Caenorhabditis elegans: one gene and its partner. The protein of the gene in region 1 interacts with the protein of each later gene in a pairwise test. Each region holds a gene or a part of one and is shown in the gene's direction. Other genes may lie near its edges. The genes, in order: W05B10.4 and let-60.

Region 1 (4,253 bases):
CCAATAATACTAGCAAAATTGGAACTTTCATGGTAGGCAAAATCGTCTTCAGTGAGTGCCTGCCTCATGCCTACCGACGCTTATTTCCTGCACGGTTATTAGGACAGTAGGCACATATATGAGATATGAGACAGGGAGTCGGTTTTAGTTTTTAAGTTGATGGGGTCAGCTTGTTTTTTTTATTTATTCGAAAGTTTTATTCTAATTGTAAATTGAATAGTTTTCATATTCAAAGTGTATAGATTTTAATCCATTTATGAATCATTAAAAAAATTGTTGCATATTTTTGCAAGTTTTTCATTCTAAAATCATGCTTCAACATTTTGCATCGTTCTTCATTGCGTAACCCAGACGAAGCCCCAAAAAACTCCTTTTTTCTTCTGGGATTATTCACTGTCACCTTCTTAAAAACGGCGCCTTCGATTATTTCCAGCTTATCCGATTTCACTTCTCATAAGTACTTCTACCTTCAGTTTCTTCATTTTTTTTGTTTTTTGAATCCCTTCAGACTTTTCCCTAGTGTTTTTTCATATTGATTCTGTACATCAACTCGTCTCTAATCGAATCAGGCGGATAGATCAAGGAATGTGGGCATGAGGGAGAATAGTATGCCAAAAATTAATTGAAACTCTCAATGTTCCGCCCACTTTTTGTTTAATGGAAGAAGTATCGCCAAAGTTAAAATCGAAAAAAAGTGTTTCAAGGTGAATAATGTCGTGGAAGCAACATTTGGGTTTTCGAAACGCTAGTTTGTACAACTATTGGTTAGAAAATCCAGAAACTTCAATTTCACTTTAAACGACAATATTTAATTTTTCTTCAGAGCTAGATCCATTGAAAGGACAGACAGCTGCAATATTAACGACGATAATAAATAAACAATAAAAATTGAGTTGCCCACGACAATTGTAGAAAATCGAAAAAATTAGGCTCTTGAAAATACGTCTGACTGTTTTCTTCCCATACCAAAACTTTTGAAATTATTTTTTGACAAAAAACCAGATTTTAGACAAATTCAGACAATGTTTTTTGTTTTTTTAAGTAAATTTCTTTGTTGGATTCAATGCAAAAATTTCAATACAATTTTCAATGCAAAAACTCAAAAAAGTTTTCACTGTTAGACTTTTAAAGGCAACCTTAAAAGTGACAAACTCAAGAAAAATCAATGTTATGCTCGGCCCAAATTATGTTTTTTTGGGTTTTTTGTTGGTTTTTTCTTGCACTTCTCGTAATTTTCTACTACAGGTACTTTACAAAAAAGTTTAGGACTAAAAATCCCACACTTTACAGGCCACATTCAGAAAAATGAATCTTTAGTCCATGTTCCATCTGATAGTATTTCCGACAACTTTCTCGAGACCTATCATCTTTTTTGTATTTCAAATGATCCTCCAAGATTCAATTGCTAACTTCCGGTCCATTACAGTTGTACAACTTTTTGATAAACATTTCATCTTTTTTGGCAACTAATTTGATGATAGTATTGTACTTGTATTTTACTCGTCTTACGTGTCTGATAACACCAATCAAATCTAAATAGCAATCTCCGACCGTAGGAACCAGTTGATTGACTCTTGCCTCGGAACTATCATTTTTCTTTCTTCTTCCGCTACCATTATATGTAATGATATCCTTATATTATCCATAATATATTCCTCATTTCCTCATTAGTGATCCAATTGAATGCGAACGCAAGTCGGTGAATAAAGAAAGAACAAATAAAACAAATATATTAATGATTTTCTCTTTATCCACATTCCCGGACACCGCGTGCCAAATCACTGATAATATCTCCATTTTCCTCTCTCCAGGCTACGGCTTGATCAAATACTTTTCTTCGTTTGAAAACGGTCATTCACACTCACTCACACACCCATATCGTTTACCCGTTTTGTGTATTGCCAACTACCGCACCCATATCTTCATACTTTTCCTCTTTTTCGCTTTTCCTGTTCGTATGTACATACCTTTGTACTATTTTCTTATACAAGGCTAACATTATTGAATTATACGGTTTTTTTTGTTTCAGAAAAAATGCTCAAGTACCAAGTGAAATCGTCCACTTTGACGTTGCGGCCTGCCAATCGGGCATCGAGAACGTCTTCGTCAAGTGAGTTTTTTTTGATTAAACTCGAGACCTACTTGAAGTGTTGCACTTATATTTCGTAAAATATGTTCATAATTTCTATTTGATATGAATGAATAATATTTGACTGCGTTTCCAGACGCTTGAACCCTTTTTAAGTGATTAAACTTTTCAGTAATGTAAAATCCTATAGGATCTTAAATGAGAGATTGAATTACCTACAATGACTAATTAATTCCCATGATAATAGATTTTTGGGTATTAAATACTTTTACGTAACACTAAGAAGATTTACAAAACTTTATTAACTTCTACTAGAATCATTTCCAATAGTTTACACAAGAAATTTAAATTTAACATTTTTTCTCGGATGTTTTACGTTTCTACAGTACTCAATGAAATCGATGAGATCAAGTTTACTTTTTCGAACGAAACTCAAACAATTGAGCTTTCAAAATTTGATCTTCCGAAGATCGCTTGCAAACATCAAACCTATTAAATAAAGTTTTAGGTTTGAACTAGATTTTAGTTGATTCTTTTTCAAAAAAATTTTGTTTTCAATTTTAGATTCATCCTCTCCTTGCTCAATTTCTATGCATTCTCTTCTTGATGATACTCTTCTCGGGATTCCAACAACTTCTCGAAGCAATTCACTTCTTTCCCTTAACTCAACTGATAGTAATATTTCGGATTCTTCAGATGTGGTGAGTAAAAAAACATCAGGCACCATTCAAATATATCATTCAATAATTTTGACTATTTTCAGGGAGTCCTAAAAGTTGATACGCGGAGTGTTAAACAATGTACCGATTACAAGACAATCCGAGTTACTAATTCAACAACAGCACGCCAAGTCGTTGAAAAATTTCTGACAACTCTCAAGCTCACTTGCCGAGATATAAACATGTTCGAACTTTGGATGGAGCTCACAACAAGAGCTTCGGGAGCTCCTGTTGTCACACTTCTAAAACTGGATCCTGAATCTCGACCATATGAACTTCAAAGATGCCATCCAATCGGAATGTCTCGTTTCATACTTCTTCAAAGTCCAACAGGATATCTCGTCAGAGTTCATGATCATAATATTTCTCCTCAATCTAACTACAAGTCATTGCTCCTTTCATCTCAAACAACAGTTCTTGAAGCTATTCATATTGTTCTCGGCTTAAATCGAAAATATGATGATATCTCAAAGTATGGACTATTCTTAGCAACACCTGGAGGAGATGCTCAAATTCCAGAAGATGTTTCATTAGTTTCTATTGCAAGACTTTGTCAACCGAATCAAAAAATCATTATCAGAAATGTTGATGTATTCTAATTTTTGCATGTACTCTGAACATTGGTACATATGTATTATATTTAATGCTTTAAATTCGTGGTATCTTATAAACATTTTTTAAATAACTCTTTGTCTCTTAATGAAAATCGTCGTTCAAAAAAAAGTTCCCTTCGAATTTTATAATCTACTAAAAAAAGGTAAAGGTTATTTGAACGCGATAGTGGTATACATTTCTCAAAAAGTGGCGAAAAATCAGTATTTTTTGTTTTAAATCTCTCATCAACTCAAATAAAATTTTATTAAACCGAGCAATGAAATATCAAAAGATATTATTGTTTTCTCATCCTGGCATTCTGGCATTTCGGAAAACATGCTCAAGAAAACATACATTGTCTTTAATCTAGTAGATCAGCAGTAGGTGCCTCGTATAACCAATTTATTTATTCTTAGAAAACTTGGATTCTTGAACCTTAAACTAATTTTATTGGCGTTACACCAAAAACTAATAAGTGATATGCTGTAGCTACAAACCCCAAGTAAAACATACATATTATTTCTGATTTTTGTTTTGTAAGATTAAGTTCCTTTTCGTTGTGATGAATTCATTCCAATATTTGATAGACTGTTATAGAATCAGATGTCTGGAAATATATGTAATTAAATTTCCAATTTCCTGTTGGTCGTATGATTTGATTTTTAACAACAAATTTACCTAGACGTTAGAAAAAGTTCAGATATTTATTTTTCTACGAAAGCTGAAAGTTAGCTATTACGTATTTAGTAAGATATATAAATTTCTGTTTAAAATATGGTTTCACATTGTTTTGAAATAGGTATGAATATTTAAACTAATTTTTTTATCAATTTTTTTAAACATCGGTTTTT
Region 2 (5,366 bases), on another chromosome or scaffold:
TTAGAGGATTTCAATTGGACAGAAAGAATCTCAAGCACTTAACGTCGGCGGAAATAGTTTTTTTTTTTCAAAAAGAGACCACCGCCTTTGCTAGAAACGAAAATTGCATGCGTTCCATTAAATAATTCAATTCATCGTTATCACCATCCTTCGTCGTCGTCGTTATCGTCAGAAACAGATAGGGATGGGTCGATACAAAAAGAAAGTGGACAGTTCTTTTCTCTCACTCTTTTTCTCTTTTACAAATCACACTTGTTTCGTCTCACACACGCTCACTTCTTGTCTCTTCTCCCAACAGTCGTCGCAAAACCGTCAAAAGCGTAGCGGCTGTCGCGTCGCGGTCGTTCGTGTCTATGCATCACCGTTTCTAGTGCTCTCTAATTGTCCCGCCGTAGCAGTAGCAGCAGTAGCAGCGGCATGGTGGGGACCGCACTCCTTTATCTTTTACTCTTACTTTGTGTGTGTGTATGGGGGGTGCGAGAGAAAGAGATAAAAAAGAAAGAAAGAGAGAGTGTGTGGTTTCTGTGCTTCTGTGCACTCCAGAGCCTCGGATTTCTTTTCCTATGAACTTCATTTCTCGTCTCCATCATCAGAAGGAAGAAGAATTCTTCAGAATCTTGCACTTGAAGCGTTTTCTGCCTATTTATTTTCTCCTCCCGAGTTCATCTCTCTATTCGTCTTTAGCTTAATCCATTTTATTAGGCACGCACCCGCTCCTTGGTTCAACCAAATGAGAAGATAGAAAAGATGGAGCAACGCATCCCAAATTGTGTGATAGGATTAAAGTAGTGTGGAAGAAAAAAAAATGCAGAGTGAGAGAAGGGGCAGTCTTCTTTTCCGGTCTTACTAATCCTAACGTCTTCTTTTTCCTTCCTATCTCTCATCTCTCAACTTCTGAAATAGTTGAGATGAGTGATTTCGTAAGTTCATTATTCTTTTTTGTCAGTTTTTGCTTATAGTTCCTACGGGAATCATTGTTTCTTAAACATGCTACTTCTTTAAACAATTTATATTTAACAAAGTAAAATTGAACGTTTTTTTAAAAACTTTCTAACTGAATTTCGTAAATTTATTTGTTTCCTTGTGAAAAATGCTTGTCAGGAAAACTTTACTTCTCTACGTCTCAATCTCTGCAATCTTTTAACGAGAGATCGGAGAATTTTGTATTGGAAAAGTGAAAAAGAAAAATGAAAGAGACCCACTCGACACTGAGGGCGACCGAAAAGAAACCGACGAAAAAAAACGACGATTCGAGCCATTTGTCAGCGACAATAAGTGGTCGGGTCGCACCACTGTCCGCCGTCTCACCGATTTTAACATTATATTGTCCCCCTTTTTCTTCATCGCTTTGAAATCAATTTTTGATGAAGTGAAGACCTTTTTTCTCCTGGTTTTTTTTTTAATAATTGCATTACCCCATTTTTTAAAGTTCAAAATTACTCAAACTATTTGAATTCTTCTTTTTTTCAAATTGTAATGACTCATTCTCCGTCGTCTTCAAATAGTTACTCATTCCGACTCACCACCTAGTTTATTAACAGGAAAGTTCATTCTTTTTCTATCTTCTCAATTATTCTCAAGTAGTCATCATCGGTTTTTTATTTCTTTCCTGGTAGTTACTCTCCTTTATCGAAACTTTTTTTTGAAAAAAAAAAGAAACGGAATTCTGAGTATGCCGATAGGCAGAGCTGCTCTTTGGCAGTGCTCCCACAGAAATCCTTCTCCACTTCGTTTTCTCATTTCCATCTCTATTTTACATTTTTCCATATTCAACTATGCGTCTTTTTTCAGAAAAGGGTAATGACGGAGTACAAGCTTGTGGTAGTTGGAGATGGAGGAGTTGGTAAATCAGCACTCACCATTCAACTCATCCAGAATCACTTTGTCGAAGAATACGACCCGACCATAGAGGACAGCTACAGAAAGCAGGTGAGAAATCATTGGGAACATCCGCTACACACATGTGGTGGGAGCAAATTGAACGAAAATGATGGCATTTGAAATTGAACAAAAAAACGATGAGTCAGAAGTTTGGAAGTTTTTTGAAACACATCGAGCTGTTTAATTGATTCCAAAGACGAATAAATCGTGCTGAAACACGAAAAATTCCGAAATTTTCGAAAAAAAACCAATTTTTCGTGTTTTGGACACGACATTATAAAATGGCTGGAACTGAAAAAAATGGCTCGAATCATGATTTTTCATTGTCCCCCGAAAATTCTCACAAAAAAAAATTGGAAAACCGAAAATTTTAGTTTTTGCAAAAACCGGAAAAATTCTGAAAACACTCCAAAATCGATATTTCTCAGACGAATTTCAATAATTACATTCCGTTTTACGTTTTATACAAAAAACAGAAATTTCACTTTTTTTTTGAGAAAGGGCCCAAAACTTTTTTTTAGATTTTTTGTTTTTTTAAAGCAAATCGATAAACCAGCATGCCTGCTCGTGTCGTGTGAGGAGTATAAATTTTTTTAAACGTATATTCATCTTTAAACTCTGAAATTCAGAATATTATTGAGCCCTAATTTTCAGTGTTTTCATTTGAGTTTTTAACCAGTAAAAATAGTTTTTCAGTTTTAAAAATTGCTCCGAGAGCTAGTTTTTAAATATTCTAATTTCAGGTTGTGATAGACGGTGAGACATGCCTCCTCGACATATTGGATACCGCCGGACAAGAAGAATATTCGGCGATGCGTGATCAGTACATGAGGACAGGCGAAGGATTTCTGTTGGTTTTCGCCGTCAACGAGGCTAAATCTTTCGAGAATGTCGCTAACTACCGCGAGCAGATTCGGAGGGTAAAGGATTCAGATGATGTGAGTTTTTTTTGTTGAAATTATCAGTCAATGGTTGAATATTTGTATTTCTTCTAGGTTCCTATGGTCTTGGTAGGGAATAAATGTGATTTGTCATCTCGATCAGTCGACTTCCGAACAGTCAGTGAGACAGCAAAGGGTTACGGTATTCCGAATGTCGACACATCTGCCAAAACGCGTATGGGAGTTGATGAAGCATTTTACACACTTGTTAGAGAAATTCGCAAGGTAATTTTTTAGTTAAAAATTTAAATTAAAAATAATGTTTTTAATGTACAATTAAGGTACAAATTCAGTCATTATTATATGAAAATTGAAAGACGCGAGATTTTGATATTTTCGCGCCAAAAATACGACACCCGGTCTGTTCGATTTGCTCCTTCAAATATTATGGTAACTTTATACTGTCGTTACAGCGGAATTTTCATCAATTTTTTTAAGTTTTCGATATTATAAAAATATTTAAAAACACAGCAGTTTTAATAAATCGGTGAAAATTACCCCAGAAACGAAATATTAAAGTTACTGTATTCTTTAAAGGCGCACATACGTTTGCATTTAACACAAATTCATCGTGTCGAGACCGGGCACCGCATCTTTAATTTGAAAATCGCCAAATGTTGCATTTGAGTAATACAAAAACGTTGTTTTTAAAAATTTTCTGTTTTGTAAAGCTCTAAAATGTTATTATTGTTATCAACAGTTTCAAGTTTCCATTTTTCACTAAAAACGAAAAATGTAAGTTTTTCCGATATTTCGAAACAAAAGCTCAAAGTTTTGGTCATTTTCTTAATTTTTAAAGAAAATTATATGTTTTCTTTTGTTTTTTTTCTCACCAGCATGCACAAAATCTGATAAAAAATTGAGTTTTATTGTTAATTTTCTAAAAAAAATTTTGATGACACCCTAGATTGATATCCGAAAGATTTAATAATGTTTTCTTTTTATTTCAGCATCGTGAGCGTCACGACAATAATAAGCCACAAAAGAAGAAGAAGTGTCAAATAATGTGATTCAGCGTCGGGAATTGCCCAATTTCGCCAACTCATTTTCAGTCGTGTCAACTCCCACCCAATTATCCTTTCTCGTACTTTTTTGGTACATTTTCATTATTCATTTATCTGTTTTATCTGAAACTTGTGATCGATCCTCTTCCGCCTCTACATACTCTTCGAATTTCCACCTTTTTTTCTCTATGCATCGATTGAACTTGTTCTCTCGTCTGCTCGTCATTATTTTTTCTCCTTTTTTTTCTTCATCCTTCATTCTAATTCCTCATCTTTCGCTTAGCCCAAATCTCCATTCATTCATAGGTGTCAAAACTAGCTGTAGTGTGTGATCCATATCTAAAACATGCATCCGAACCCCCTCCTCGTTCCAAAATTGGCCAACTCTACCAAAAAAAACATCGCACCATTTTTTTTTCACTTTCTCTGCATATTTTCAGAATGTTTGTATTGCTTTTTTGATGCTTTATTCCCCTTCCTCGTTTTCATACAAATTATTGGCCTCATCTATTTTCAGAAGTTCTCTGAAAATTAAATTCTTTTGCATCTGCCGGTCGTTCCGTTTATTTTTTCTCTGTTTCCTCTCATTTTTGTCAAGTAATTATTTCTCTTTCATTAACTATAATATAGATACAATTAGACCCCATTTCTCATACATTTTCTGAACATCTGAAAGTTTTTGCTCCCTCGTATTGCATTCATTTTTCTCTATTCCTCTACATTTTATAGTCCTATCTGAATATAATATTCCTATTCTTTTGATCAAGTTTTTATTATTATTTTATTTTCAAGGAAGTATTGCAATGATATAAATTTTAAAAAGCTAATATTATTTTTTTAAATCTATTCAACTATATTTTGTTAATTTCAGTGTTATATTTTGACCTCGCCATCGGAGCATGATTTTAAAAAAAACTAAATTTAATTTATTAGAATGACGAGAAAAAGGAAAAATGTAGAGTCTGATGAGAATCCTCCAGCGAAAAACTCATTTGAAGGATACGGATATGCTGCTGCTGATGCTGAGAAGAAGCCACAGGAGGAGAGAAACAATTTCAGAACTTTTCTAGCCAAAAATGAACGATTTGGAAGTGGAAATCGAGGTGGAGGAGGTCGTGGAAGAGGAGGAGATGGTGGATTTAGAAGAAATGATAGAGGTGGACGTGGTGGTGGTGGAAGAGGATTCGGTGGTAACAGAGAATTCAGTGCCGGAGATTTTGAGAAGGTTTGTGTCAGATGGTGTCGTGAGTGATGTAGCGTCTCTGGCTTTTTAAACTCAAAATTACAGAAAAAGTTTCGATATGTCGAGTTAAAAACATTTCTAAAATTTGTATTATTTTGCAAAAAATAAAAAAAAGCCGAATTATTTTTGAATTTTTTAGTCATTTTCCTGGACAAAAATTGTTCAAAATGTGGAATTATAGGTTTTAGACCAATTTCATTTTATCGAATTTCGTTCGGATTTTCGAGGTTTCTTTCCGAAAAACTGTCTGAAAAAATGAGCGCGGGAATTCACAAATATTTCAGTATTTTTTTGAAA

Evidence for each region.
Region 2: the proteins of W05B10.4 (region 1) and let-60 interact in a two-hybrid assay, tested with the Caenorhabditis elegans proteins (3 studies listed by BioGRID).

The regions. Positions count from the first base shown.
Region 1 is NC_003283.11:12,666,197-12,670,449, forward strand, and holds W05B10.4 (Ras-associating domain-containing protein), read left to right. Parts: upstream 1-2,029; 5' UTR 2,030-2,034; coding exon 2,035-2,110; intron 2,111-2,653; coding exon 2,654-2,790; intron 2,791-2,852; coding exon 2,853-3,407; 3' UTR 3,408-3,493; downstream 3,494-4,253.
Region 2 is NC_003282.8:11,687,512-11,692,877, reverse strand, and holds let-60 (Ras protein let-60), read left to right. Parts: upstream 1-1,789; 5' UTR 1,790-1,800; coding exon 1,801-1,929; intron 1,930-2,624; coding exon 2,625-2,819; intron 2,820-2,876; coding exon 2,877-3,047; intron 3,048-3,772; coding exon 3,773-3,832; 3' UTR 3,833-4,651; downstream 4,652-5,366. Other genes in the region: ZK792.5 (Nucleolar protein 9), read left to right, coding at 4,761-5,051. UniProt on the Caenorhabditis elegans protein: GTP-binding protein with GTPase activity. The level of let-60 controls the switch between vulval and hypodermal cell fates during C.elegans vulval induction. May stimulate the guanine nucleotide exchange factor (GEF) activity of rap-1.